Linked DNA regions of Oryzias latipes. The protein of the gene in region 4 binds, or shares a complex with, the protein of the main gene of each other region. Links are inferred from orthologs where the notes say so. Each region holds a gene or a part of one and is shown on either strand. Other genes may lie near its edges.

Region 1 (4,418 bases), on a different chromosome or scaffold from region 4:
GAGGAGGAGGAAAGGAGGAGGAGGAACACGAGGAGGAGGAGGACAAAGAGGAGGAGGAGAAGGAAAGGAGGAGAAGGAAAGGAGGAGGAGGAAAGGAGGAGGAGGAGGAGGAGGAGGAGGAGGAAGAGGAAGAGGAGGAGGAAGAGGAAGAGAAGGAGAAGGAGGAAAGGAGGAGGAGGAGGAAAGGAGGAGGAGGAACACGAGGAGGAGGAAGAAGAGGAGGACAAAGAGGAGGAGGAGAAGGAAAGGAGGAGGAGGAAAGGAGCAGGAGGACAAAGAGGAGGAGGAGAAGGAAAGGAGGAGAAGGAAAGGAGGAGGAGGAAAGGAGGAGGAGGAAAGGAGGAGGAGGCGGCGGCCTCACTCTGTCTCTGGTTCGGTCCAGCTGCTCCCTCTGCCCCCCCAGCTCTTCGATGATGTCTGTACCGATCTGCTCCGTCTCCACGGCGATGCGCTGGCTGCGCTCGATGCTCTGCGTGGCGTTGTTCAGGTAGTCCGTCCCCTGAAGCAGCAGCGACCTCTGCGACTGCAGGTGTGTCTGCACCCCCCAGGGACAAACAGGAAGTCAGGAGGTTTCCAGAACACCTGTGAGGCGTGAAGGTCCACACTCACACTCTGCTGGTTCTCGGGTGAATAGAGGCCCTGGCGGTCGCCGTGAGACGTCAGGGGGGCGGGGCCGAAGCCGGGAGCAAAGGTTTTCATGTCCCTCTGCAGTTTGCCGATGTCTCTGCGGTACAGACGCAGCTTGGTGCTCATGGCGTTTCTGTAGGACGCCGGCGCCGCACGGAGCTCGTCCTCCATGCCCTGCAACTGTGAGAGAAAATCCAAGTCCATTTGATCAAAAAGATGGATTTTAGCGTCTGAAACGACTATAGAAACGCCGACAAGGTTCAAGAAAAATGGAATTATTAACTCTTCAGTTAAAAAAGAAATTACACCTGAGACATGGCAACCATTAATGGATTATTTCTATAGACAAGTCAACCTCTACTTGAACATTTAATTGTAAAATCTGCAGGGTATTTGTTTGTTTTGTTGTTCTTTGCTTTTCTTTTTTTTGGTATTGTTTGCTGTAAAAAATAAAAATAAAAAAGAGGGGAAAAAACAATAAAACATTTTTTTCTTTTATTTCAAATGAATGAAAAGAACAAAAAGAAATTTAAAATAGAAAACTAAACTTAAAGCTGCATGCAAACCATGTAACCATAATCACACTGTTCATTTCAAATAAATGTAAAAACAGTATGAAAAAAAGAAATTAAAGGTTAATCAGCTGATAAACGCACAATGACTTCATGTGAAACTAGAAGCTCGTTTTCCCTCCAACAGGAAGAGATGAACAAAATTTGATCAAATATTCTTATTTTTGTGTGTGAAACGCAACCAAATATTTGAACTTTGACTTCAAGTCTTCGCTGGTTCTTGACTGTAGCACCAAAAACCCCAGTTTGATTTTTTCAAAGCCTTTTTTAAAAATTAATATTTAATAATGAATGTGCCATCTGTTGTGTTTAACCGCAAAATGACTCCATGAATGTGAGCCGTCAGGAAGGAGGACATCTGCTTACCACCTCCTCAGCCTCTCCCTGCCGCTCATCGAAGCTCCTCACCAGCCTCTTCCTCTCCTCTGCAGACCAGAGCACACAGGTTACAGAGGCTCCTTCCATCCATCCATCCTTTCAAACACCCACTGCCATGAAAACGATGGGGGACATGTATAACATGTAGCTTATAACTGCCTTTCTGAGTAATTCTTTATTCAAATCGTTGTGAATCGGGAGCGGACGGAAAAAAAAGCAGTTTGAAAAACGTATATTTGCGATGTGTTGCACCTGTAACGTCAGGTTGAGGGTGTGAGAGGCTGTAAGCAGGAGAGCGTGTAAACAGACGGGTGACGGGAAGTGGGGGTGGGCTTACTCCTGCCGACAGTCCCGCCCACAACTCTGACGCAAATTTCTAACAAACTGCTGTCCTAGAAAACGACACAGCTTCTTGGCTAAATAAAAAAAAACATGATCATAATTTAAGACGACTTTGGAAATAGATCAAAAGATGATCAGAGTGAGATTTTGTTAGTTTTATTCATTCATAACCCAGGAGACGTACAGTAAATAATAAAGACCATTACCTTGTACATCAATTATAAACACCAGAGGGATAAATATACAAAAATAAAGTTATATGAAATGACAAACCTGAGCAAAATGACAAGTATGAATTGCTTCTTTGTTTGTATTGGGGGAAATGGATTGTTAGTAAAATCTAATTTAAGTCGATCAATCAAAACAATTGGGAGCTTTATTGCTAAATTTAGTTTTGTGAATAAAATACTTAGTAAAATCAGGAGATTCGTTAAATCAAATTAAGACGAATGTTTATTATCATAATTAATGAAACCAAATAAGATGTTTTTTCCATGCAAGTCCCAAAAAATATGCATCAACAACGTTTCCTCAAATGAAAACAGAAAGAACAGTTTTTCTGTTTTTAGCCTTTGCATAAACTGATTTGTTGGATGAAACCTATGAATGATCTTGAATGAAACCTCTTTCACTTTGTTTTTTAGTGAGATTTTAAGAACACAATGAGCAACAAAGAACATGATCCTCGTTTACCTCCGTGACATTTCGCGGCTCTGTCAGGAATTAACTTCAGCTCCTCGTACAAAGATCTGTAGATTTCCTGCAACTTCTCGAATTCCTCCGACGACATTTCTCAGGGATCAACCCGGATAGTTCCTCCTGAATACAGTTATTATTGCTCCTCCTGAATATAGATATATTCAAGAGTCTTAAAAGGTTTTTTTGTAGGTGGAAAGGTTAAGATAATCTGTTTGTTTTGCTTCCTTCATCATCAGAACCCGGGATTCTTCCGCATGATGGTCCTCGTGACCAAAAGGACTAAAATTCCGTAAAAGAATGAAATAATCGGTTGTGTTTTACACATTTAAAAATTAAAATAGTGTTAAAGATACCATTTTAAATTTATTTTTTATGAACTGTATCACACAATATTGCTTATCGGAATTTTAAAAGGGAAAAGAGTAAAGATTTCTAGTCAGGCAGTTAAATAGACACCTAACATTGGCTCCAGGGGAAATTGGGAAGTGTAGTTTATTGATTTCGTTAAACAGAAGAGTTCTAAATTGAATCTTTAGTTACAAGAAAGAAAATGTTTTGATTTAAATTTATGTGTACAATTAAAATTAAATTAGATGCGATTTCTATAATTCAATTTTTGCAACTGATTCAAATAGGCCTACTGGTATATGTGTTACTCAACTTACTATTATTTTAATAAATAAAAGGATATTTGTAAAAATAAAATAAAACCTTCACTACAAATTGAGTTTTTGTGCTGAAAATGCATTTTTAGTTTTTAAAAAGTTAATATTATTTGAATGTTTTATCTTATTTTGTTCGAGGACAACGTATAATAATGCAATAGATATTCTAAATAAATGTTATACAGAAATAACCAGAGGCAGCTTTCAGTTTTATGAAGTGATAACGGCAACTTAAATGGTAATTGATTCTAGTGATAATAATAATAATTGTTCAAATGATAATAAATCATATAAATGTATATACATTTATTTAAATTTTTTTTGCAAAATATAAGGCTGTGGGAGGATTTAGATTTAGCTGTTGTGTTTATATGTTTTTGTCTTTTTTTCCAATTTCTTTTACAAAATTCAATCTACAATAATTGACATTTTTCCATGTTTTACTTCGAATTCTGGCATTACATTTCTTAAATTAAACTATAGTTTTGTATTCCTTTATAATGAACCGTTTCTCACTCATCCTTTACGATTTTTCTTACTGTTTTTTAAACACATTTAGTTTGTATATATATCTTTTGGCATTCATTCTAATCTTTCCTGCTGCTACGTGAAATTAAAAAACAACATTTTTTTTGTATTTGACCTCCAATGTAAAGGACTACAAAACACAACAATGACTACAATCCCACAATCCTTTGCACGTGCGCTCTCGGTGCCGCTGCGCCCCTCCAGCCCTGACATCAGCTGCTCAGCCCCGCTCTGCCCACACATCCCTGACGTCCGGCCGGAGGCAGAGGCCCGTGGAAGCGCTCAGATGTGGGTCTTGGTGATCATCGCGGGGATCGGGGTGGTGACGCTGCTGCTGCTGCTGTTCGCTCCGCACATACGGTGAGCTGCAGCGGGGACCCGCTGTCCCCCCATCGCGGTACCTGCACTGCTGTGACGTCATCAGCACGGAGGCTGGCTTTGCTTTTTAACCCCAGAGGTGTTTATTTGAGTCAGCCGCTTTGATTTCGGTGTGAGTTTTGTCTCAAATCCGCTAAACGGTGACGGAATTTTGAGTGAATCAGAAAAACGTTTGAGCACCGGGATGAGGCGGCCGCCTTCCGTCTGAGCTGCTCGGGCCTATCAGGTG
Region 2 (2,860 bases), on a different chromosome or scaffold from region 4:
AGGTTCAGAGCACTGTCTAGTGGGTCTAGATGACCCAACTCCCAATGGTAAAGTGCCTAGGATAGCACAAGGGTTACGTTAACAGTCTCAATACGGATTGTAAAGTGCAGCACGTCCGTCTTTCTCTTGTTGCTTTGACCCGTCCTCGTAGTTCCTGGCCAATGACTGAAGAGATCTTTAGTCACATGGTTTTGTTTACAAGCTTTGGTCTGGAACAGAATGGTCTGCTTGATGAAAGTTTGAATACAGACCAAACACAAGGTTTGGGACTCGATCCGGAACAAAGAATTTTTTAAGTCTGAATACACCCTAAAGAAAGTTAGGTTTAGCCTCGTATAGAAAATGTCTACATCCTTTACGGCATGGAAAAGCTCTTTCTGGTTCCATTTAACATCCAAATCCACCTTATTCTACCATACAAACAAAACTGGCGGAAGATGGTAGCAGATGCGTTTCAGCCGGAGTTACTCTAAACCAAACGACTACCCAACCCAAATCTAAAGGCCCGTACACACCGGGACGAATTTCGCCCGCGATATTCGCCGACGTTTAACGCCTCGTGATTAAACAAAGGGCACCAATGTGAGTGTGCACACCGACGCGAAAAAACGCCACGCGTCAAAGCGTCATGTTTTAAAAAAACGCCTCGGGTTCTTTTTTTTGTACGGGCCTCGCCGCGCGTCAAACTATTCGACCAATGAGAATGGCGCTTTTGCACACGTGTCTGGAGCTTCTGAAATTACAGTAAAACACAACTTGGGGGCGCTCAAACACAAAACTGCCTTGCTGAGCACACATACCAGCGAAGAAGATAGACGCCAAGTAGCGTCTACACTGCCGCGAAGAAATAATGACGGACATTCTAAAATATCCCCGAACCAAGCACCAGTTGGAGCAACTGGTGCTTGAAATATTCATGTTTTCTTTGTATGATTCTGAAAAACGCGTAAATACTTGCTCTCTTCTTCTGAGTGAAAAGCGACTTTAAGAAGCGTAAAGTTGCGCAGCGCCACCTTGTGTACAGGAGTATTTCTGTTTACATTAAGCGCCATTTAATGTCAGGGAATGAAATTGCATGTTCGCTCGGCTCATCGTCAGCGAAAATCGCCTGGGTGTGAACACAAAAGACGTGGCGAAAGACGCTGGCGAATAACGCCTGGCGAATATTCGTCCCGGTGTGTACGGCCCTTAAGACTGAAACGACTTCTGTCCCAGGGATGTGGTTTGGATATAAGACTGACTGGGACCAGACGACGGGGTTTTGTAAATATTGTGACTCCCTTCCAACACAACAAACCTATTTAATCAGCAACGATAGAACTACGACAAAAAACACAGTGTATGAGCTAGAGCCGCAGCATAGAGTGATGACATAAGCACTCAAAAAGGTTCAGACACCGTTACAGTGTGCACTCGTACACGTTAAATATTCTAATAGCATAAGTTAAAGATCTTGATTGAAAACAGGTTCTAAATAAAATAAAGATTAAGTTCCAACTAACTTTGTTTAATACTGCATAACTGTCAAACTGCACTTTACTGCACAACTTTATTTAAACTATTTGTTTATTGAATTTACAGACAAAATCGGATTTTGCAGAATATTGATACTGGGATATAAAACGAGACATTTTGGTCATATTTCCTAACCCTACTTCTGAAATGGTTTAGCTGGTCACCAAATAATTAAGATTCAAAGACTTCCAGCAACAACAACTAACTTCTTCTCCCTCTTTCAGGACTCAAATATGATGAGTGCAACAGGGCTGCTGACCGGAAGCGTGAAGCGTTTCTCCACAATGGTTCGATCCGGCAGAGACAACCGCCGCCTCCTCTGCTACGTTTCCTTGGGGCTGGTTCTCATCTTCTTCATGCTCTACTACCTGGTTTCCAGGATCCAGCGGTGATTTCAGAAAAACCTTCTCAGCCAGAGACCTACGGATGATGTGAAGCTGAATCTATAGAGTATAGATCCAAGTTTACATGCAAGGAAGAGGAGTTTTCTTCGAATCCCCAATGGAAGGAACGCCAGACTGATAATCAGAGAGGTGTAGAGAACTCCACTGATGTTGTGGAAACAAAAACCTTACCTTCACTAAAACCCTTCTTGTTCCAACTTGGGGACACCTCACAAGAAAAGATCAGCTCTGCAGCACAGGGGAAGTCAAAGTTTCTGAGCCAAACAAAAAATTATAAATTGGCATCACATGTCAATGATGCTGACAGTTACATACAAGTGACCCCAGACTATGTCTCCATTAAAAATCTACAACAACTGAAGCACTTTATTATTATTAGTTAAAGATTACGCATGATATCACTGCAGAGAAGGAAAGTCCAGAATAGTGAAAAAGGTATCAGCTGTTTTTTTATTGTCCTAAATTCCTTTGGAAATATTTGTTTTTCTCTCTCTCTGTTCTTCTTGCACACATTTATTTTTATCAGTTTTTGTCAAACGAGTTGAAGTCCCACTCCGATCACCTTTTGGTCTATTGTAAAGGTGTTACCCGTGGTCTTTTATGATGATGCGGTTTTCAGCCAAAATCAAAAAGCCTGTGTCATTTTCAAGGACATAGTTTCTGCAGAGCGCCAGGAGTTCATCAGAAATCAACCTCTGAGTCGTGGGCGGGGCTGTTGGCGCACACACTCCCGTTCTAACATTACTGGTGCAACAAAAAATGGCGAGCAATATTGCAGCTATCCAGCTGTACAGTTTGCATCCAGAAAACAAAAGTTCATGGATGTATTTGTCTGACAGTGGATGAATCTGAATGGAGAGCTGCTCAGTGGATTTTTTACATATTAAATACAATCTTTTCCAGCTGATTGTTTTGATCTGATTCCCAATGATTTGAGTAAA
Region 3 (4,237 bases), on a different chromosome or scaffold from region 4:
TGTTAACCAACTGTTTCTTGATTGAAGTTCCAGTTTAAACATAGTTTTTTTTTTTTTACTTTGCTGTATGTAGCTAAAACAATTTTATTTCTGCAAAGCATTTTTAATTTCCCTTGTTTGCATAAAACGATATGCAAATGAAATTGCCTTGCTTTACATGTGTTGTATAAGGCCTAAGTCATGTTTTTGTGGCATTTTTCTAATGCTGAAGAACATATCAAAAGAAAATTCTGCTTAAAATCGCATTTTTGAGTACTTCTTAATTCAAATGTGAACCAGGAGGTGATGAAAACATACCACTGGAAAAAGCTTGTAGTTGTGCTACAATCAGCAGGCCACAAGCTTCCAGCTCTGGTCCATTCTGATGCGTCCACTTGCAGATAACTATATACAAGTGCGTCTTTGGCTTCCTCAACTGAGCTGACATCTGGCTCTGCAGAAACCATGTTCCAGAAAACAACGTTGGTTTTTTTGGGGGCTAAAAACGGCATAATCATAATTAAAATACCACTGGGAACCCTTTTACAATAGATCAAAAGATGATTGGAGTGGGACTTTAAAAGTGCAGAAAATGTAAACAACACAAAGAACCAAGTTATAAAAACATTCATTATCTTAATGGATCAAAATTATTTTGGTCCTCTCCTTGGTATTCTTCAGACATGACTTGAAGTTCAACACGTGTTCTCAAATACATGTTATGACATGTTTGTGATTTCTATATACTTTTTAGGCCTTTAAAATAGCATTAAAATAAACAATAAAACATATAAATAAAACAATAAAAAATAATAGGGACCCAGTTCACTTTACTTATTTCGAGTTAAGAAAGCATTGAGTTAAGGGACACGTTTCAAACGTTATGTTTATCCATTTCTTTGTAACGGTCCAATAAGTAGTGGGGCCTAAACACAAGCTTTGTTTTTGTATTTTTTCTAAGACGTTTATAAAAAAATAGGTGTCATATTTATTACTAATACGTTGGTGGTGCTGGCGTAGTTGTTGCCATTCTCATCTCACAGGGAGAAGGCTCTGGGTCAAAACCCTGCTGCACCTTTTTGTGTGGAGTGTGCATGTTCTCCTCGTTTATGCGTAGGTTTCTTCTGATTTCTTCCCACAGTTTAAAGTCATGCTTCGTAGGTCAATTGGTGGTTATTAATAGTCCCTTGGGTGTGAACGTTTGTAGTTGTTTGTCTCCGTGTTGCCCTGCTATGGACTGGAAAACTGTCCAGGATGTACTCTACCTTCCCTCCTCAGTGGTTGGGTAGACGATGGCATTGAACAGGAATAAGTGGATTTAGAGACTAATTGGCTATATTTGGTAATTTTAGTAATCTCAGCAATTTCTGAGATGCATCCTGGCAGTAGAATGTGTGTATAAGTTTTACATATTAAATGAAGTTCCAATAAGTATGTCAAGGATGCATTTACAAAAAGTTGTAAATATGACTTCATGTTTTTGTTCTTATGCCCTTTCAAACAAAATGTCTTTCTAATTGGCAAAACACTGATAATGAAATAAAAATAAGAAATATAAAAGCAAACCTCATGTACCAATGACATGAAATTTTATAATTGAAAGACCCATTTTGAATCTTTCCCAGCAAAAAGACAGAACAGACATTTGGACAAGGACAGGATGGGCTGCTTCCTCAGGTGATTCAACACTCAGGTACAGCATGGAAAGAGAAAGATACGATCTTGCTGCTCTCTGATGTTCTCAACCTCCTGCTGGTACCTGCATCCTTTTTCTGACAGGCCCAAGCATGCTCAGACCACAAGTATGCCTCCAGCCCCAGATCCCCAGCCTTCCACCCGTCTGAACCCTGTACCGTCGTACCTTCCCTTATCCGTTCCATCATATGTCACACCTTTCTTTAAACCACTCAGAAAATCTCCCTTTGTGTGCTTTTTGGATTGTTTTATGGTATTAAATAGTATATATGTCAATAATATGTCAGAAAAAATGATTGAGCCTAACTTTTATATCAGTATTCGTCCAATAATTATATAGTAGTCAGTTGTGCTTCACATTAAAGACCCACTCCAATAAAAATCCTGATTTGGGTGTTTTTAACATGTTCTTGTGGCGTTTTTTTGACATCTATGAAGAAAATTAAGATCAAAACTGCATTTCTGAGTGTTTCTTTATTCAAATCGTTATGAATCAGGAGCAGATAAAACAAATGCTGTTGGAAAAAGCTTGAAGCAGTGACATAGGTGCTACAATTGGCAGGCCACAAGCTCTGAGCTCCTCTCTATTCTGATGCATCCACTTGTAGACGACTAGATCTATTTCCGCCTTCATTTTCCTTGTATGAGCTGAGATCTGGCTCAAAACTGTACGGCAGGATAGTTTCGATATTGCTCGCCATTTTTGTTGCATCTGTAATGTTAGGTTGGGGTTCTGAGGGGCTGTAGGCTAGTGGGAGAGAGTGTAAACAAAGGGATGATGTCAGGGCAGGCTTACTTCATGCCAACAGTCCTGCCAAAAGCTCAGAGGTGAATTTTAGTGAACTCCTTGTCATGGGGCCTCTGTCAGCTATCTTCCCCCTCCCCTCTCTGCTTGGCCACTGATTCGTCCCAGCTGCGTTCACTCATCTCATCAACCTGCCAGACCTACTTAAGGAGCGCCAGGACCAGAATTCAACGCTAGTTCGTTGCCCCTGATGGTGCTTGTCTGGTCTCTTTCAAGTTTTCCTGTTACGTATCTTTACCCTCGTCTAAACTCTAGTCTTTCTATGTCCAGGACCTACATATCCCACGAGTGGACGCCAGCTTCAGCTTCAGCCCAAGCGGAGTTATCCCCGGAGTTACCTACCTCCTCTCAACGCTCCATACATCAGGCCTCAGCTCTGGCCTCAGCCGAACCTCCAGCCACGTCAAGATCCACCCTCTCATCTGGAGTTGCCGTTCCTGCCATTCCCCGCCACAACAGGACAAATTCATCCGCTGGAAAAATTAAATCTATTATTTACCTTCACTCACCTCCTGTCTTCCTTCTGGGTTTCAGCGTCTGGGTCTGTCTAGCTTTGACAAGTCATGACAGAACGAACAACTAGCCAAAACCCCGACCCAGCTGGCCCGGAAGATTTACAAAATATTGTCTCCCAACAAGGTCGGTTCCTGGAACTCCTCTCCAGTGCGGTCACCCGCGTCACTACAGTCCAAGAGGACACGATCTCTCGCATCAGAGGTATGAACCAAACGCTTTCCGAGCTAACCGAGCGACATGCTAACCCTGCTATAGGAGCTTCTACTCCGTCTTCCGGCAACAATGCAGCTTCCGCTTCCGGTCCTGTCAACTCACCCGAAAACTTCCGGTTACAGCCTGAACCGTTCCTAGGCAACGTAGAAGCCTGTGGCGGGTTCTTACTTCAATGCCAACTCATATTCCAGCAGGCTCCCAGGCATTATCACTCTGATATCAGTAAAATCACCCTTATAATAAATTTTCTCCGGAAGAAAGCTCTTCGGTGGGCTCAAGCCTTTGTTTCTGCTAACCCTATTAGTCACCTTCGCTATGAACACTTCCTAAACGAATTCCGTTTGATTTTTGACCAACCCCGTAAACGGGAAGAAGCCACACGTAAATTACTTAACCTGAAACAACACAACCGGACTGTTAGTGAGCACGTCATTGACTCCGCATTCTGGCGGTCGAAGCAGGCTGGCCAGATCTGGCTTTAAAGGGCATTTTTTATCAATCTTTGAATGAAGAAATTAAAGACCATCTCTGTACTCAGCCTGAAACTAACTCCTTTGAAGAGCTCGTTTCAGCAGCCCTCCGCTCGGACATCCGACTCACCGAGCGACGTCATGATCGCCAACAGACCCCGAAGAAAACCATCAGCGATCCGGCCCCTTCTACCATCACAGCCCAGTCGCCCCTCAGAATGGATTTTCTCGCAAGCTCCAAACCATCTGAGGGACCTATACAGAGATCATTCTAAACTATCTGCAGAAGAACGACAGAGGCGAAAAGAGGAGGGTTCATGTTTTTATTGTGGAGCCCATGGACATTTAGTTTCACAGTGCACTCTGCGTTTAAATTCCCAAAACCCCCCGCTGAGTGACAGGTCACGGGGGGGCAACCTCAGCACTCAGGAAAATCAAAGCTTCCTGTGCATTCCTGTCAGAATATGCTGTAAAACCCAAACTCATGCTTTCAGGGCACTTATAGATTCTGGAGCCGAACAGAGCCTAATTGATCATGGTCTGGTGTCTAAACTCGGTC
Region 4 (4,347 bases):
GGGGCCAGAGGCCAAGCACCACAGGGTAGGTATGAGTTTCTATTGAATCAGCAGCAGAGCTTTTATTAAACCGCCGTATTTAATGCCGCTACAAAAGTACACGACCAAAACGTGGCTGGTGCAGATCTTCTCATGTCGTCTTCAGGCTGATGGTTGGTGACATTTAAGATTTTACTCCCCCGTGGGAAATGTGAAAGTGGTTCTTCAAGGTTTTATTTGAAGACATCTGCTTAAGTCAGATAAATAACTGCTGGGGCAGAGCAAAGGCCGTGTTGCCCTGTGAAAAACGGGTGCACACTGATGTCTTCTAAACTCTTCACCAAAAACTAGTCTTTATCGGAATATTAATCTATAGCTGGAAATTTGGAGAAAAGTTTATGTTCAGCATGCTGTCAACTTCCTCCGCCTTCTGTGTTCTTTACTGACCTACACCAAGTCTAGAACATCCAGAATTTGGATTCAAAGACCCATAACTCTGAAGATGGTTATCACACCGAACGCAATTATAATGGGGGCGACATACAATGTTAAGCCAATGTACAGACTTGATCTGAGGTCCGGCAGCGTGATTGTAGCGTCAGGCGCAGCGAGGCAGACCGGCAGCAGTGCGTTTTGAGTGTCGCAGCACGATTTGGGTGTTGTGGCGCATCCAGAGTAAAAAAAAAAATCTGACTTTTGGCGAGGTTGAGGTGTCACTTCACCCATTTGATGTGTTAAGGGGTGGAGTAAAAATCCACTGTGGAGGATCGGTCCAAGCGGCCTTGTCCTGATCTACCATCCATTTGCTTATCACGCTACATCGCTTTTGGGGCTGCAGGGTTGCCAGAGCACATTCTGGTTATTGTTGGGCTAAGGTGAGGCACACCCTGGACAGGTTGCCAGTCTGTTGCAGGGCCCATGGGGCTGAAGTGACCCCACCCACTGCACCGACCCCCAGGAGGCTGACGGGGGGGCAGATGAGAGAGCAGCCGCAGCTGCTCAGGCCTTCTGAAATTTATGATATTTTATTTATTTGCTTTAAGAAAATAATAGCGCTCTTGCCTCACAGCAAGAAGTCCTGGTTCAAGTCCCGGCTGGGGGACCAGAAACAGAACACCAATGGGGGACCTTTCTGTGTAGAGTTTGCATGTTCTCCCCGTGCATGTGTGGGTTTTCTCCGGGGACTCTGGCTTCCTCCCGCCATCTAAAAACATGCTTAATTGGTCCCTCCAAATTGTCCATAGGTGTGAACGTGCGTGTGCATGGGTGAGTGGTTGAGGCCCTGTGACAGACTGGCGACCTGTCCAGGGTGTCCTCTGCCTTCGGCCGCAAGACGCCGGGATAGGCTCTGGCAGCCCCGTGACCCCGAAAGGGATCAAACAGATTAGAAGATGAATGAATGCATTGAGAAAATAATTTTTAATAAATTCCGTCTCAGATTTTTTCGTAAGGGAAAGTCAAAATTAGCTCTTTTTTATGACTCTTTTAAAGCTGAAGTAGACAAGCTTGATATTCAACGATGTCGACTGTTAACTGTCCACATGGGAAAAGCAGCAGACATGCAGGTAGCGAAAGGGAGAAGATTCTTCTTCTTCTTCTGCGTATTTACTGTTGTCTACCACCTGTAATAGGAAGAGGCTCAGTGTGCAAAGTGAAAGCTGTGAAAATCCCGCAAATCTTGCTCCAGACGTTTTGTTTTCACAGCTTTGTTCCTGTAAATGTCCGTCTTGGAGTCCGAACACAAACCGCAAATATTATTGTCTCCTTCGAAATCATGTTTACAACGGTTGGTACTTCCGTGGCGGACGCCACCCTCATGTCACTACTAAATCCGAGTCTCAGATTGGTTGCAGGACTGCGATTAAGTGTAAAATTGTTTAACCAGTTGAATTTCCAGTAGTGAGCATGGTGACCGAATTGCTTTGAAAATTCAGGTCACTATATAGTTTTGCAGTAGTTAGGGGTTAGGGTGGGAATTCGGACACAAACACTGTGTTGGTGCGTTCATTGCAGGAAATTATTTTATTGTTGCAGGTGTTAATGATTTCAAGCTCCCATAAGGAAACAAATGTAAACATTTATTTGTTATTTGAATGCAACAAAATGACTAATCGTCCTCTGAAACATTAGATTTTCCACTTTTATCAATCATCATAACAGGCATACAGGTACACAGATATGTATTTAAAATTAATTACATGTATATAATTGATGAAGATTTCAAATTAATATTATTTTATATGAAATCTGTATCTTAGCTATAGTATTTTTTACAGGGTAGTTAGTCTGTTAATAACATCAATCAATCGCTCAAGATTTTTTTTTCAACTACGTTCATCTAAAAAACGTGTAGTCTTTTAGGGAAAAACTAGTGCTACATTCATTAATGCTCACATTTCCAGTAATTGCACAGCAAAGTCTGTAGATTAAAAAAAATTAGGTCAAGTTTATGTTTTTTATGAGGTATTAATTTAAAAGCAGCAACTTTTTTAAAATTAAACAGTTGGGGTACTAAACGACTTAAAAACAGCCAACAATGGTTGTACTTATACGTTTTTAAAAGAAAAAGTAGTGGTGTGTACATTTGTCATATAAAAGGCAATGTTTGTAGAGAAGTTTTATCGTTTCAAATGAGCTAGCATCATCATCATCATCATCATGCTATCGCTAGCTAAGAGGAGCACTCACCACTTCTTTCGCTCTCTGGGTGAAGCCGCTCTTCGTTCTGCTTCTTTTGAAAATCTCATCTTTCGTCGAGTCGAACCCGATCCCTATCGCCTTGTTTCTGGTCTTCACTGTCTTCACGCTGGCTTTAAAAAGCAGAGTGATGTCCACAGCCATTTCTGTGCACGCGCCGCTGTCAACAAGGCGACACGTCATCGACCGGTGACGTCATCAACATGAGACGCCGCAGCGGATTTTTCCCTCAAAGGGGAAAAAGGAAAAGCCTTAAACAGGTTTGCACCGATTAGGATTTGATTTCCCATTAAATCAACACGGAACTTAACCAAAACTCAACATTTGACTGTTTCACTTTGAATTAGGTTGTATATAATGGAAAAACAATAACAGAAAAGGACTAATCTGAAATTATAGGGTTTTAGAAGCGTTAAGGGGAATATCATTTTGAGAAAAATCTAAGGGTTTTCATGAGTTTCTATTTTGTTTAATACGTTCTATTAATGGTTGTTTTATGTGTTTTCCTCGCAGACAAATGCCTCCACAGCCAGTGAAGGGCTCCACCAGCAGAAAGAGAAGACCCAACTGGACTGACCCGGAATGCCTTCTTCTGGCTCAGTTAATACAGAAAAAGCAGAACATAGTCAGAGGAAAGCAAAGCACCGGAGTATCGGTTCAAGACAAGAGGCATGCCTGGAAGGAGATAGTCCAAGCTATTAATGATGCTTTTCCACAGGTCCAGCGCACAGTTTCCGACTGCAACAAAAAGTGGGAAAACCTCCTTGCGAAGGCAAGGGAGGAGATAAAACGACAGAGTAACAAAGGTCAGGAAACATGCATTTTCTTTTTTAAGTTTAGTAACATTGTGCATTTCTGACTAATAGCAAACTTTTGTTTTTTTAATGTTGCAGAAGAAGAGATGTTATTTGAGAAACTTAGTGCCGTGACACAGATAGTTATTTCTGTGTTGAACATCTCGGAGAAGAAGATGCAGGAACAGAAGAAACTTCGTGACGCAGATCCAGCGGAAAATCCAGAAAACAGGCAACACTTTTTCCCCCCCCTATTTCTTTAAGGATGAAAATCATGTTTGTGCGAGTTTTTTACATGTTCTTGTGGTATTTTTTTCATGATGGAGGACATACAGTGGGGCAAAAAAAAAAAGTATTCAGTCAGCCACCAATTGTGCAAGTTCTCCTACTTAGAAAGATGAGAGATGCATCCACTTGGAGATAAATATATCCATGTACGTCCAAGCCGGAATCTGGCTCAAAACTGTACGACTGTTAGGTTGGGGGTGTGAGGGGCTGTAAGCTAGCAAAAGAGTGTGTAAACAAAGGTGTGATGGGAAGGGGAATTTCAAATTAACTCATGCTGCTCTGCAGAAACTATGTCCTAGTCAACGACACACGTTTTCTGATTTAGGCTAAAAACGGCAAAATCATAATTAATAGATAATAACGCTATGAAAATAGATCAAAAGAGGATTGGAGTTTCGAATTGAAGTGTAATTTTCTTTTTATATGTGTTAATTTTGGAATTAACTCTAAATTGATCATTGAATATCTTCTGCTTCATCCTGCAGCTATGCTGAAGATGGAAATTCAACAACAGAGGAGAGCACGAGCAAGCAGGCGCTGATAGAGGTAGAACTTTCAGATCCGGATCCAGATCCAGATCCAGATCCAG
Region 5 (4,070 bases), on a different chromosome or scaffold from region 4:
CCTCATAAGATGTGTCTGAGATTATTCTCTGTAATATTTACAGAGATATTTTGCCACAAGCCACTTTGTAAAAAGATCTGTGGCTGTTAGAATGAACCTGCTGCTCCACACGAGTGAACCGTGTCTCTGAGCAGAGCAGCTGGAGTCTCGTAGCTTCGTGTTCGCAGGCTGGGAAGCTGCTTTGTTATAGTGTGCGGTCCGGAGAAGAGTTCAGAACGCAGTCTGTTCAGCTGCAATGCAGTTAATAATAATAATATTTAGGGCTACATGTCATGAGGAAAACTTAATATTGCGGTGACGATGTAACTTGGGGTGTAGGAAAACAACCAAAAACATCATTTCTATTTCACTGCAACAGTTTAAAAACTGCATTGCAAATGACCAACATCTACATAGGAGACGAACATCTAACACAAAAGGGCTCCATCCGATTGGTCAAAAACATAAAAGGGATTATTTTTGCTTCGTTAAATACTGCCATCAGATTGTTTTAGCATACTTAAGGTAACCATTTATTGCGATCTTCGCCGTCTTTTGCAATATGCATATTGCACAGCTTGATATTGCGATAACGATAAATTTGCGATATATTGTGCAGGCCTAATCATAATATTACCAAAAGCACGTTTAGAAGATAATCTTTCTCTGTGTCGGAGCTCTGTATGTTTACAACGGACCGCATAATATCTTCTTCTATGTTAGTATCGTAATTTATCCAGACCAATCACTATCTGATATTGCGATGACGATATAACTTGTGGTGTATGAACAAAGAGCAAAACAACCTAAAACATCATTTCTATTTCACTGCAACAGTTTAAAAACTGCACGTGATCGGACCAACAGACATCCAATCACATAATGTGACGTCAGCACTCTTCGAAGGACCCCGAACGGTTATTGCAGGCCGAATGGTTATGGTACCTACACCCCACAGGAACACTGAAAATCTGCACTCATTTTTCCTTTAAAAACAAAAAAAAACTTTTTACTCCTTCGACCATATCACTTCGATATTTGGTGGAAAATAAAGGACAATGTTTTTTTTAACACTAACACTGGAAAACCCTTGCTAATAATACATTAGAGGTTCAGATATTTGTCTGTCCTCAAATACCAAACATCCCTAAAACAGCACTTCCATGAAAATTCTTAATAAAGACAGATAATTGTATCTCTATGCTGCACAGGTCAGGAAAATGTTCAGATATAATTCAAATGATACAGATTCAAATGCAGCAGACAAAGGTTGACTTTAAAACGTACTTAAAATGCCAGAGTGGTCATGTGACCATCTGCTGATCTTTTTGTACATGCCACGATTGTAGAGAAGGAAGTTGAAACCCATTTGTCAATATGTTGACTATACAAAGCTGAAATTGACATGAAAAGGGTTTTTTTTAAAGAAAAAGGACGTTTTTAACTACTCTGGGGGAAAAACGAAACTAAAACCAAAAGAAATAGGAAAAAAAATAGAAGAAGTTTGCTTTTCTGGTTATGACTAAAGCAAAAGTCTTTTTCTTCTTCTAAAAAAAGTCATATGGCATTCTAAGGAAATCTGTCACGCTCAACCCACCATCTGAGCCGCCAGCGTTGAGGAGAATTCACTGTTCATGGCGTAGGGAAGGGCGGTTTGAGCTCTGGAGCCATACGTCGTCTGGAAGCGCTTCTTGACTTCGCCAAGAAAGGTAAATGCACGAGATCTTTCAAAGTCCTTTAACAGAAAACATTCAATCACGATAAATGCAACTACACGTATTTAAAGCTTTGTGCCAGTGTCACATCCTTCCCAACTATTGCTGAACATCAAAACAAAATAAAAAGTCCAAAGATACTCACATCATCAGTGATGCACAAGTATATGATTCTGTCATGGCAGATGTAATGAAAGAGGTAACTGAAAACAAAATAGAAACACCATCAGTTACACGTTCCCAGAAACTAGCCCTGATTGTGGGCAAAATAATGACAATTATTGAGATGAAGGAGCAAACTGGACCGTACCTGCCGTGGCTGTAGGTCAGTTTGTTATTCTCTGAGGGGATTTTGGCTAAAATTTGTTCTGTGACTTCCAGGAAGTTGCCCCCGCACCAAGCATGTTTGGCCAAAATCGTGGTTCCACGAGCCACCACAGCAAACAGGATTGCCATGGTAACACAGCTGGGTTCTCCGCTACGTTAGTTTTCTGTCAAATAAACAAGGAAAGGAATAAGCTTTTTGTTGTTGTTGTTTTTTGGTAGGTGGAGCTCAGGTAAAACAAAAATGCCCCCACCCGCCTTCCCTCCCTCCCACCGGAATTCCGTTAAGATGAGTTAGAAAGAAAAGGAAAAAAATTGTGTATTGTAGACAAAAAAATACTAAAAACGATTACACCCAACATCCCTATGCGTGTTATTGTGGTATAAATCATTGGGAAAAACAAAGACTGATTCGGCAGCAAGCTAGCGTAGTAAGTAATGTTGAAATAAACACGGAACAGTGGTGGCGTCAACGAAAAGACCAAAATGTTAATCAAAGTGTCAGTTCAAGTTTTTGTTTGTAAGTTAAACGTTGTTGCAAAAAAACAAAACAAAACGATACCTTAACGTGTCAGCGCCACTCAAACGAGCTAATTATTTTCCCACATTTATAATGTGTCAGCTGCTAGCAAGCTAGCTAATCCCTTTCGAGTGACTTCTGCTTTGCGGATCCTTTGGACCGGAAGCACACACTGACCAACGCTGGGTAATGTAGTTCTTTTTTGCAATTTCTTTCACAGTGAATGCTGCTCTTCTACCATTCTGAACTACACTTCCCTAAACTACAAATGACGATGTGTCTTCGTCATATGTTTTCATGCGTAAGAGCAACTGTTTAGGAATTCCCCTCAGTTTAGCCTTAAAGGCTACGATTACACGCTAAATTGAATGCATTTGCAAATTAAATGTTAAGGAATGTTACTTTTTAGCGCAGTGAAAGGTAGTACTTCATCACCAACCTAATTTAAGTTCGATCCGTTTATCTTTTCTTAATTGCATGTTTTGTATGTCTATGTTTAACAAAATTTATTTGTGTCATCACTTCAAATCGACATATCTCTTTATGGCAGACTAAATAAAACATTTATTCTTAGGGTTGTAGTCGGAATAAATGTCCAACCAAGCGGGTTCAGTTATTAATGAATAATAACAGCATGGCGACACTTTCATTTTCAGCCTGTAAGTCAAAAATAAAGGGGAAGAAACACAAAGCTCATACTTTGCAGTGCGAGCGACGTGAAAAGCATGGCCGGGGATGGCGAGAAGAAACCCAAACTGGAAATGGTAAAATAAGAAAATGTCGTTTTGTTTGATCAGTTATTTAGATACTTAACTGTATATTGGTTAAAGTTTGTGTAGGTGAAATATATAATAACACATCGAAGAAGCTAATGCTAGCTTTCTCCACCGCCCGGCTGCAGACTTCACGTGGAAGATGAAGTGTCTGTTCATAAGAAAATCCCTTTTACTCGTATATAAACATTTTTTGTTAATTTATATTACTTAAAAAGAAACCAAAATCATGTTTTATTTGATAAAACTGAGCTTATATTTTAGTGTGTTACTACATGTCATTGTTTACTTGGTCAAAATCCTGCGATGTCTTTTATCCCCACTAGGGGGCAGTATTTTAAAACAAGCAGTGTTTACTTAAGATTTGTGAACTAAAATGTACTTAAACGTTAAAAATATATATATTATAGTCCCACAAGTCCCTACTAAACAACTGATTTTTGTTTTTTGTAATTTATATTAAAATAAAAAAGTTAAACGTCCATAGTCTCAAAGATCACTAAAACAGAGAAACAATATTCATGGAGTACAAATTAATGTATGTAAACACTGTTGTAGGAGGAATATGGCTCTCAATTGTATTTTTTTCAGCAACAAACCCACTAAAATGTTTCAAGATTCACTTATAGTGGTCTACAGAAGGATGATAATAATAAGCGACAGCTCAAAAACAAGGGTAAAAACCTCTAAAAGAACAGCACCAGCAAAAATAAAGCCACAAATCCCGACTACAACCCAACAGGAGCCACAAAGTCCTAC
Region 6 (4,292 bases), on a different chromosome or scaffold from region 4:
CTGAGAAGTTCCTGTTTCTGTGAGGACCGTATCCACAACAAGGACAATGCCTGTTCTTACTTTATGGAGATGTTTGAATGCCAGCAAGAACCACAACCATCAATGAATCAACATAAAGAGATCTGCCCCCCAACCAGCGGAAGGCTCATGCTGGGTCTGGAACAGGCTGGGACAGGTGCATCTGCTCACCTGACCATCTGAAACATTTCCTCACAGCGCTCACACTCACCCACTCCATCCTGAACACGCCTATAAACCCAGACACACTGTCACTGGAAGAAGCTTTTCTCATTTCCTCAGCTGGAGGGTTTCATCTGAATAACCTGTCTACGTCTGAACGTTCAGCCAAACTCTGAGCAGATGGTACATTATGGCCCAGAACAGCTGAAACCGGGAAACCATGGCAGTGTTGTTCAGAAAGAACCCGGATGGTCCTGGTTGTGGAACGTGTGAGTATGAGGTGAGCGTGCACGGAAAGCTCTCGCTCACAGCACTCCCAGAAATGACGAAGGCGAATACGAACCGACAGCCTGGAGCCAGCTCGGACTCGGGCCACGAACTCCCGCTCCTTGTCGGCGGCCTGCCGTTGGGTCTTCTGGAAACTGTTCAACGCAGCAGAGAAGTCATTGAGCAAACGCTCCTTCTGCAGCTTCCTCTGCCTCTGAAAACACAAACACAGCTGATCAATTCCCACAAACTCCTGACCGGGTTCGATGTGATCGGTGCGTGGGACGAAGGGGCCTCGTACCTGATCGGGACCGACGGGGAGGGCGGTGAAGGCCTTGATCAGCTGGTCGGTCTCCTTGGCCAGCTGGTTCCCCTGCTGCTGTTTCTGCTGACTGAGAACCAGAGGGAAGCATCTGTGAAACGTTTCACTCGAGGAAACAGAAATCTTACAAATCCATTACTCCTGACGTGGAAAATGCTCGGGTTTCAGGAGCTAGCTGAGTACAGAGTAAAAAAAAACTATTCTAAAGGTTGAAAACTACTTTTTGAACCTTAAACCCACTGAATGGAACTGTTTTAAAACAGGGACAAATGATCCCATTCAAGTAAAACACTGTTATAAGAATAGAACTTACTTTAGTAACAACCTGCATCTCCAATGTGTGTATATGAACATGTATGTGTTTAGAACATCTTTTTAAAGTTATCTTTCTGTTTTGATGAATGAATTAGATGCTAAAATAATAAAGACAGTCTGCTTCCTGCCATTCAGGAGTCTTTACAAATGAACTGACTGAAGGAACAAGGGAAACGTATGTGTGTGTGTGCATGGTGACCGTCCACAGACAGGCCGGCTGTCGGTTTGAACTCATTTGGCTGCATGTGTGATCAAGCAGGCGGTCAGAACTCACAGCGTCTGTCTGAGCTGGCTGCTGTCCTGCTCCGTCCCCAGCAGGGTCACGGCCCTCTGCAGCTCTGAGGCTGGAACACAGATCCATGAGTGAGGATGCTGGGGGTCCAGTGGGGTTCAGCATGTGCACAGGTCTGTGTGGGTGTGTGTGTGTGTGTGTGTGTGTGCATTACTCAGTAGTGTGATCCTCTGGATGTTGGAGCTGATGTTCTGAACCAAAGCGGCGGGCTCCCGTTGAATCCCAGCCTGGTAGGCCATGATGAGAGCTGAGTTCACACAGAAAGACACATTTATGTCTTGCTTTCATACAAACTGCATGTTTAACCTTTAAAGTCCCCCAACCATCATCTTATGATCTATTGTCAAAGTGTTCCCAGCGGTCTTTTCACTACGATTCTGCTGTTTTTAGACTAAATCAGAAAACGTTGTCGTTTTCTAGGACATAGTTTCTGCGGACTGGGAGTAATTCATTAGAAATTCCCCTCTAAGGTGTGGGCGGGACTGTTGGCGAAAAGCACAACACCCCCCCTTCCCGTCATCCATCTTTTTACAACTCTCCCCTGCTAGCTTACAGCCCCTCACAACCTCAAGCTAATATTAGTGATGCAACAAAAATGGTGATCAACATCAGATCTATCATCCGTCCAGTTCTGATCCAGATTCCAGGTCAGACCAGGAAGACAAAGACGTTCACGGATCTGTTTGTCTGACAGATCAGAATAGAGCAGAGCAGGGAGCTGGTGACCTGCTGATTGTAGTTTACGTAACAACTAAGAGGTTTTTCAAACAGCATTTTTTCTTCTGCTCCTGATTCACAACGATTTGAAGAAAGAAATACTCAGAAATGCAGTTTTAAGCTTGATTTTCTATATATATGTATGTCCTCCATCATTAGAAAATGCTACAAGAACATGTAAAAACACCACAAACACCATTTTCATTGGAGTAGGTTTTTAACTAGCAGGACGGGTGCTGGCAAAACCCAAACCCAAAACTGTTGTCAATCAGGAGCAGACAAAAAAAGACTGTGATGAAGACTAGTGATGTAGAAAATACTCTGGCCAGGCCAAAGTGTCCCTGCCCTGCTCCATTCTGATGCCCCCACCTGCAGACAAATAGATCCATGGACAGCTCCAATATTGAGCAGCATTCTTGTGGTGCCGCTAAAGCTATGGATGACGGGAAGTGAAGGTGGGCTTACTCTGTACCAACAGGATCAGGAGGGAAAACTACACCATCATCAGCGTTTGTCTGACATAAGCATCAACAGTCTGAGGTCAAACCAACGTTTTGATAACAAATGGAGATGATGGAAACTTCCTCACAGCTTTGAGTGATGGAGGCAGTGAAAACACAAAGAAGGAAAGTTGCTTTTCCTCTCAGAACAAATCCTGAAACTCTGAAACGCTGAAGGTCAGAACCAAAGAGCTGCTGCAGCAAACACCAGCCCAGCTGACCCCTGACCCCCATCCATGCTGGACCAACGTGGGCTCATGCCCAGTCTGCTCTGATCGGGGGCCAGTTGGGGGGGGGGGGGGGGGGCGTTGACGCGGGTCAGGCAGTTGCTCACGCGCGTTTCCGGGACCAGCGGCGCTCCAGCGTCTGCTATGATGACGCGTTTTTAGGACCCCGTCAAGACCCCCTCCGCCGTGCGTTACGGGGCAGCCTGCCGCCTGCAGCGGTCGGTCGGTGGGGCTGCAGTCTTTCCAGCAGCCGCAAATGCGGAAATCAGAGGACTTTCTCGGAACACCACGGTCTGTGTCCTTCCGTGACGGCTGCTCTCTCCCGGAGTTTCTGTTTATAAAACCCCGAACTTTAAGCGTCAACGTGACGTTTAGCTCATGAAACTACCGGTCTCTACACAACTGCCCCCCCACCCGCCCCCAGCCCGGTTCGGGACATCTCGCCGTTTGTCCTCAGAAAGTGAAGCGCTCCGAAACCCGCGGTAGGATTTTGGATCGAGACCAAAACCTGCTCTAGAACGGTTCGGTTCGTTTCTGGGATCGTTTGGACTTTACCTGCGCTGAGACTTGGAGCTGCGCCGTTTCCTGACTCGCAGCCACTCCCCGGTCACATGACGCGCACGGCCCGGCCCCGCTGGAGCCAAGAGCCGCAGGAGCCGCAGGGGCCAGGGGACACTCCCACCAAAGACTGGAGACAAGGCTTCAGGGTTCTGCTGCGCCCCGGTCCTTTAGGATGGAAACGAGTCAACTCCACAAAAACAAGTCATAACATTAACAATAAAGGACTAAAACATAGTTTCAGCGCGCTGGAGCAAAATGATGTTTATTCAAAAAATATGACAGAGTCTGAAGGCCACATATTTGAGAAGGAGGGGGGAAAGGAGACAGAGGTGGAGGTCTTCCTCATGTTAAGGTTTTCCTCATGTTGAGGTCTTCTTCAGGTGGAGGTCTTCCTCATGTTGAGGTTTTCCTCAGGTGGAGGTCTTCCTCAGGTGGAGGTCTTCCTCATGTTGAGGTTTTCCTCAGGTGGAGGTCTTCCTCAGGTGGAGGTCTTCTTCAGGAGGAGGTATCCCTCAGGTGGAGGTCTTCCTCATGTTGAGGTCTTCTTCAGGAGGAGGTCTTCCTCAGGTGGAGGTCTTCTTCAGGTGGAGGCCTTCCTCAGGTGGAGGTCTTCTTCAGGTGGAGGTCTTCCTCAGGTGGAGGTCCCCTGCAGTTCTCTCCCCTTTGGACCCTTCGTCTCCACTCAGTAGAGGAGTGGAAATCTGGATCACAGACATAGGAGGAAGCAGGACATGAACCTGAAGCGTCGTGGAAGCAGCAGCAGGTCTGTAGGAGGCAGCAGGTGTTTATCCACATATAGAATATATATCTTTGCACTATCTTTTTCCAAACTGGCAGATCAATGACATATTTGTATTCGTCAACAGCAACATGCAACTGTGTTGTATTACAGACTCATTCTTGCTCTGTAG
Region 7 (4,168 bases), on a different chromosome or scaffold from region 4:
TCTGAGCAGCACGCCGTGGTCGAAATAAAACACACAACGTCAGAAATTGAATGCAACTGGAGTCTCAGGATGACATTTTTTTTGTAAGATGTGTGGAAATCTACGAAATACCACTAAAGTTAGCTGCATCAGTTCAACACATTTACCACAAAAAAAAAAGAAACAACAAAAAAGGAGAAGAGAAAGAAGAAGGGTGTGTTGAAAATGTCAAAATAATTGTCCTCTTTTTTATGATTTATTTTTGTCTTGATACTGTGAGTAAACGTTAGGATTTAAAGACAGAGAGAAGGGAGGAATTTATGTTTGTATTTCTTATTTCTTTCACAGCTCCAGCAGAGACATTTTGGACGGTACAAACAAGTTGTGGGCTCCTGCCATGTGTTTGGCCCAAAACAAACCAAAGTACAAGGAGATATTCATAAAAATGTTTTTAAAAAATTGTTTTTTATTATTATATTCCTTTCATTTTTGACCACCTTTGTGTGCTAAAGTATCTGCCACTGAGAAAAATCACTAAATCAGGAGTTGATTGATCAGCAGAGAAGCATCAGACACCCTCATGAAAGGAGCTCCCTTAATTGCATTTTGGAAGAAGACGACAAAGAAAAACATGTTCACTGCGATCCAATAGAGAAAACTAATCTGTAACATATTTGGTGCCCTCATTGAGCCTAAAAATCTGATTGGAAAGGCGCCCCCAACTAGCCCCGCCTTACTCTGGTGGGATCCCTGTGAAAAATCTGGAGAAACGTCGTTCTAATCCTAAAGTGCAACTACACTGATCCTCTGTTACAAAATGCAACACGAATTTATCAAATTCATAAAGTTGACGTACTCTCCTCTGGCAGCGCCACGCCCAGCACCGTCTTCTGTTTGTTCTCCAGCTCTGACACCATCCTCTTTAAGTTCTGCAACCCCTCGTGGATTTCTTGCACCTTAGAAAGAAGTTTGTAAAGTTTTAGGATTAACAGGCAAAATCATCTTCCCAGACAAACAGCTTTAACTGCAACTGTAACATCCTGACCTTTTTTGATCAGAAAACTTCAATTAATGGGTTGGGAAATGCAGTGTTTGTATAAAAAAAAAAGAAATCCAAGGAAATATTAGAACAAAGATCCCTCTGCTGACTCTTATTTTAGAATCTTCTCAAGGTTTATAGATCATAATGGATCCTTGACTTTAAATAAAATCCATAACTGCCTTGACTTTATGATTTCATCTCTCTTTACTTAGTTTATTTTGATTTCCTCACAAATGGTTTGGATTGAAAGACATGCTCAGAAACTTTTGCCATCTTGATGGTATCTGACTCCAGCCTCCCTCAAAGAAAAACATCTGAATTTTAAAAATATAAAGAAATTTGGAGAAAATAGAAACACCATTATTACAAACCAACACCTTTGAACATGTTTCATTTAACTGATACAAAAAGTATCCTAAGATTTTCTAATGTGAGAAAAAAGTCAGTTGGATAAACAACTGTGTGTTATTGTTGGTGTCCGTCTGACTCTTTCACTCAGCCAAACTAAAATAAAAACCTGAAAAGAGGATTTCTGTTGCTAAAGCCCTTTTATTGTTTGGGGGGGGGGAAATGCTTAGCATAGAAATTATTTTTTCCAAACAATTAAAGTTCAATCAAAACTTAAAAAACCTAAAAAGTTAAACCGTGATAATATATGGAAATGCTTCTCTTTACTTCTTTCTGTTTTAATGTTTCTCTTCTAGATCATTATAACTACAGTTTGCAACAAGTTGAACATCATGATCATAATTTATAGCAGCTTCTATGACACTTTATTTAAACTTTCTTTTCAGAGATTTTCAAAATAAAACATGGCATTTCTTTCCCCTCACTGTAAAAGTAATGCTGCTTTCGTGGACAGTTGGTAAACTGTAGCATCAAATAATAAGTGGAGGTCTTACACACTAAAGATGGCTACAATCAACTAAAATGTCAAAACTTTATGGACATCTGCATTTTTCCACTAAAAGTCTTTTATTTATATTGTTAAGTGCAGCCCTACATACAGGCCAGTGTTTGTTGTCCGTTAATGTTTCACTCATATTTAAAGCTTCATAGTTGACCTTTTATATTTATTTACTTTCCTTTTGTTCTGGGATTAGAGGAGAATTTAATGTCGGCAAAACAATTGTGTGTGTTACAGCTAAACCTTCAGCTCTGTCCTCTGTCTCATAAACATGAAGCAGAGGCCCATTGGAGGAGCATTTCCCAGGACATCCGGTATCTGATAATACTACAAATCATTTGGAGGAGCCCAGATCGAAAACTTGGATGATCACCTTTTTGAAAAAAGCCTCATTCTCCTTATCTTCCTTTGTTGAAGAGCTGCCAGGTTTGCTCATCAAAGCCGTTTTCTCCTCGTTCTCCTCATCTGAGGCCTCGGCTTTCTGCGGTGAGGTGGACAGAAACACACAAGAGGAGGATGAAACAGAGCTGTGTGAAGGTGCCGGTTCAGATCTGCAGCCGGGAGCCCTGCCCTTATCCCGGCCTGACAGCTTCCTTGGAGGAAGAACTCAAGCGGACGTTAGCAAAGCAATATCGCCACAAGTGCTTCCAAGCGTAGAAAATAAGGGGGGGGGGGGGGTATATTGTTTTGCTCTCATATGCGGGCTTACAGTTAATAAATAATCAGAGACCGAAGCATTTCAAAGTTCACTTAAACAATCAATACAGCTAGGTTAGCAAGCTAACGCTATTGCTAACACACCAACTTTAAAACTTACATTATCTAACTCTTTTGTTCGATCCCGCATTTTTGATGTCGATGTTCAGAGTTGGTGTCGGAAACGCTGCGAGCACGCGGCCGAGGAAGGACAACGGTTCCCAAGCAACAAAAGCTGCGGACTTTCCACTGCTGTCATTCAGCAAGTTTAACTCCAGAGCAACAGTTCTCACAGTTCTTCCTCTGCGGTTCAAACAAACAGAATTTAATCGATGGCGCCCCCTTGTGACAGACACCTTTACTACAGGCAACAAAACCTGCTTTGGTTTAATTCAATTGGAATAGCCAGAACCATACTATATTTGTACGACGGAGTATTAGAATTGACAGAGTATTACTATATTACTTATGATTATATACTATTATTTTATATTACTATTGACAATAAGAATAAATAGCAAATATGATTATGAAATTATAATATAAATATGAGAACGAAGTCGTAAAATTGTGGGGAAAAAGTCAACATTTACCAAAAATAAAGTTGAAAATGTATTATTTAAAAAGGAAAAAGTCATGTTTTTTTAAATTAAGGTTATAACTTCATGAAACTAAAGTTGTGCAATTACAAAAAAGAAAACAAAAAAGAAAAAATCATAATCAAAGTGATAGATATTCATCAAATTTCTCTGCAACATCATTTAAACAGGAACCATTTAATTGTCATAGTTGAAAATTTTTAAAAACTAAATTTAACACTTTACTTAAGAAAAAAAGCATGACATCTCTTTGAAAATTGCAAGTTTTTACAGTTTAAACATATGACTTTATTCTTGAAAATTGTAAAATTTCTTTTTGATAATTGCATGACGTTTTTGTAGTAATTGTTTTCTTAGTTCTTCTAAAATGTAAACTTTTTGTATTTTACACCTTTTTTCATATATAAATGTTAATTTTTCTGCTTTTATAGTGGCCATAATACTTTGTTGTTCATTTGACATATGAACAAAATAATATGAATCAAACATTTTGTCAAATTAAAAATTAAAACAAGAGTTAAAATAAGAGTGAACAGAGATAATACCCAGCAACAATCTCTCTCCACTCTTTCACATATTCTGTCGCCTCCTCTTTTATTAAGTTTTTTGGGAATTCCCTAAATTACACATGCGCTGAGCTCTAAGGAGTGGAAGACAGATTGAACACAACTGCAGCGCCATCAGAAAATATTAATTGCAACATGTCCATCTTATCACAGTCTCCCCACATCATCTTTGGACCTGCAAAGCCTTTTCTCACGGATAACTGACACAGAGCGTCCTTTGATTCCGGTCTTGACACAGATACCACATAGTTCTCATGCTGATCTTGGGAAGACGCTAAGATAGTCGGTTTCCTCCCAAGAGTTTCACCTTCACCTTCCTGTGAAACAGAACTTGGACACAAACACTTCTGCATGTATGATTATATTACCTATAGAGCTA

What was found.
Region 1: stx18 (region 4) and vti1b share a complex: the UniProt entries of both Homo sapiens proteins name them as parts of the SNARE complex. The link is inferred for Oryzias latipes from reciprocal best matches to the Homo sapiens genes STX18 and VTI1B.
Region 2: stx18 (region 4) and bet1l share a complex: the UniProt entries of both Homo sapiens proteins name them as parts of the SNARE complex. The link is inferred for Oryzias latipes from reciprocal best matches to the Homo sapiens genes STX18 and BET1L.
Region 3: stx18 (region 4) and stx5 share a complex: the UniProt entries of both Homo sapiens proteins name them as parts of the SNARE complex. The link is inferred for Oryzias latipes from reciprocal best matches to the Homo sapiens genes STX18 and STX5.
Region 5: stx18 (region 4) and vamp7 share a complex: the UniProt entries of both Homo sapiens proteins name them as parts of the SNARE complex. The link is inferred for Oryzias latipes from reciprocal best matches to the Homo sapiens genes STX18 and VAMP7.
Region 6: stx18 (region 4) and stx7 share a complex: the UniProt entries of both Homo sapiens proteins name them as parts of the SNARE complex. The link is inferred for Oryzias latipes from reciprocal best matches to the Homo sapiens genes STX18 and STX7.
Region 7: stx18 (region 4) and syntaxin-4 share a complex: the UniProt entries of both Homo sapiens proteins name them as parts of the SNARE complex. The link is inferred for Oryzias latipes from reciprocal best matches to the Homo sapiens genes STX18 and STX4.

The regions. Positions count from the first base shown.
Region 1 is NC_019880.2:1,875,686-1,880,103, reverse strand, and holds the start of vti1b (vesicle transport through interaction with t-SNAREs homolog 1B), read right to left. Parts: upstream 2,918-4,418; 5' UTR 2,710-2,917; coding exon 2,613-2,709; intron 1,688-2,612; exon of another isoform or gene 1,665-1,687; coding exon of another isoform or gene 1,625-1,664; coding exon 1,566-1,624; intron 808-1,565; coding exon 610-807; intron 536-609; coding exon 362-535; intron 1-361. Other genes in the region: retinol dehydrogenase 12, read left to right, coding at 3,957-4,171. UniProt on the Homo sapiens protein: V-SNARE that mediates vesicle transport pathways through interactions with t-SNAREs on the target membrane. These interactions are proposed to mediate aspects of the specificity of vesicle trafficking and to promote fusion of the lipid bilayers.
Region 2 is NC_019864.2:3,554,425-3,557,284, forward strand, and holds the end of bet1l (BET1-like protein), read left to right. Parts: intron 1-1,739; coding exon 1,740-1,907; 3' UTR 1,908-2,280; downstream 2,281-2,860. UniProt on the Homo sapiens protein: Vesicle SNARE required for targeting and fusion of retrograde transport vesicles with the Golgi complex. Required for the integrity of the Golgi complex.
Region 3 is NC_019868.2:11,883,705-11,887,941, reverse strand, and holds the start of stx5 (syntaxin-5), read right to left. Parts: upstream 2,841-4,237; 5' UTR 2,822-2,840; intron 1-2,821. UniProt on the Homo sapiens protein: Mediates endoplasmic reticulum to Golgi transport.
Region 4 is NC_019863.2:30,760,520-30,764,866, reverse strand, and holds the start of stx18 (syntaxin-18), read right to left. Parts: upstream 2,876-4,347; 5' UTR 2,860-2,875; coding exon 2,668-2,859; intron 1-2,667. Other genes in the region: uncharacterized protein LOC101155681, read left to right, coding at 3,194-3,482, 3,570-3,702, 4,244-4,347. UniProt on the Homo sapiens protein: Syntaxin that may be involved in targeting and fusion of Golgi-derived retrograde transport vesicles with the ER.
Region 5 is NC_019868.2:26,863,141-26,867,210, forward strand, and holds the start of vamp7 (vesicle-associated membrane protein 7), read right to left. Parts: upstream 2,801-4,070; 5' UTR 2,581-2,800; intron 2,186-2,580; 5' UTR 2,151-2,185; coding exon 2,005-2,150; intron 1,898-2,004; coding exon 1,840-1,897; intron 1,715-1,839; coding exon 1,577-1,714; intron 1-1,576. Other genes in the region: DNA-directed RNA polymerases I and III subunit RPAC2, read left to right, coding at 3,264-3,302. UniProt on the Homo sapiens protein: Involved in the targeting and/or fusion of transport vesicles to their target membrane during transport of proteins from the early endosome to the lysosome. Required for heterotypic fusion of late endosomes with lysosomes and homotypic lysosomal fusion.
Region 6 is NC_019882.2:21,987,203-21,991,494, reverse strand, and holds the start of stx7 (syntaxin-7), read right to left. Parts: upstream 2,843-4,292; 5' UTR 2,828-2,842; coding exon 2,683-2,827; intron 1,624-2,682; coding exon 1,531-1,623; intron 1,429-1,530; coding exon 1,359-1,428; intron 840-1,358; coding exon 749-839; intron 662-748; coding exon 524-661; intron 1-523. UniProt on the Homo sapiens protein: May be involved in protein trafficking from the plasma membrane to the early endosome (EE) as well as in homotypic fusion of endocytic organelles. Mediates the endocytic trafficking from early endosomes to late endosomes and lysosomes.
Region 7 is NC_019877.2:19,255,742-19,259,909, forward strand, and holds the start of syntaxin-4, read right to left. Parts: upstream 2,938-4,168; 5' UTR 2,776-2,937; coding exon 2,746-2,775; intron 2,410-2,745; coding exon 2,302-2,409; intron 936-2,301; coding exon 836-935; intron 1-835. UniProt on the Homo sapiens protein: Plasma membrane t-SNARE that mediates docking of transport vesicles. Necessary for the translocation of SLC2A4 from intracellular vesicles to the plasma membrane.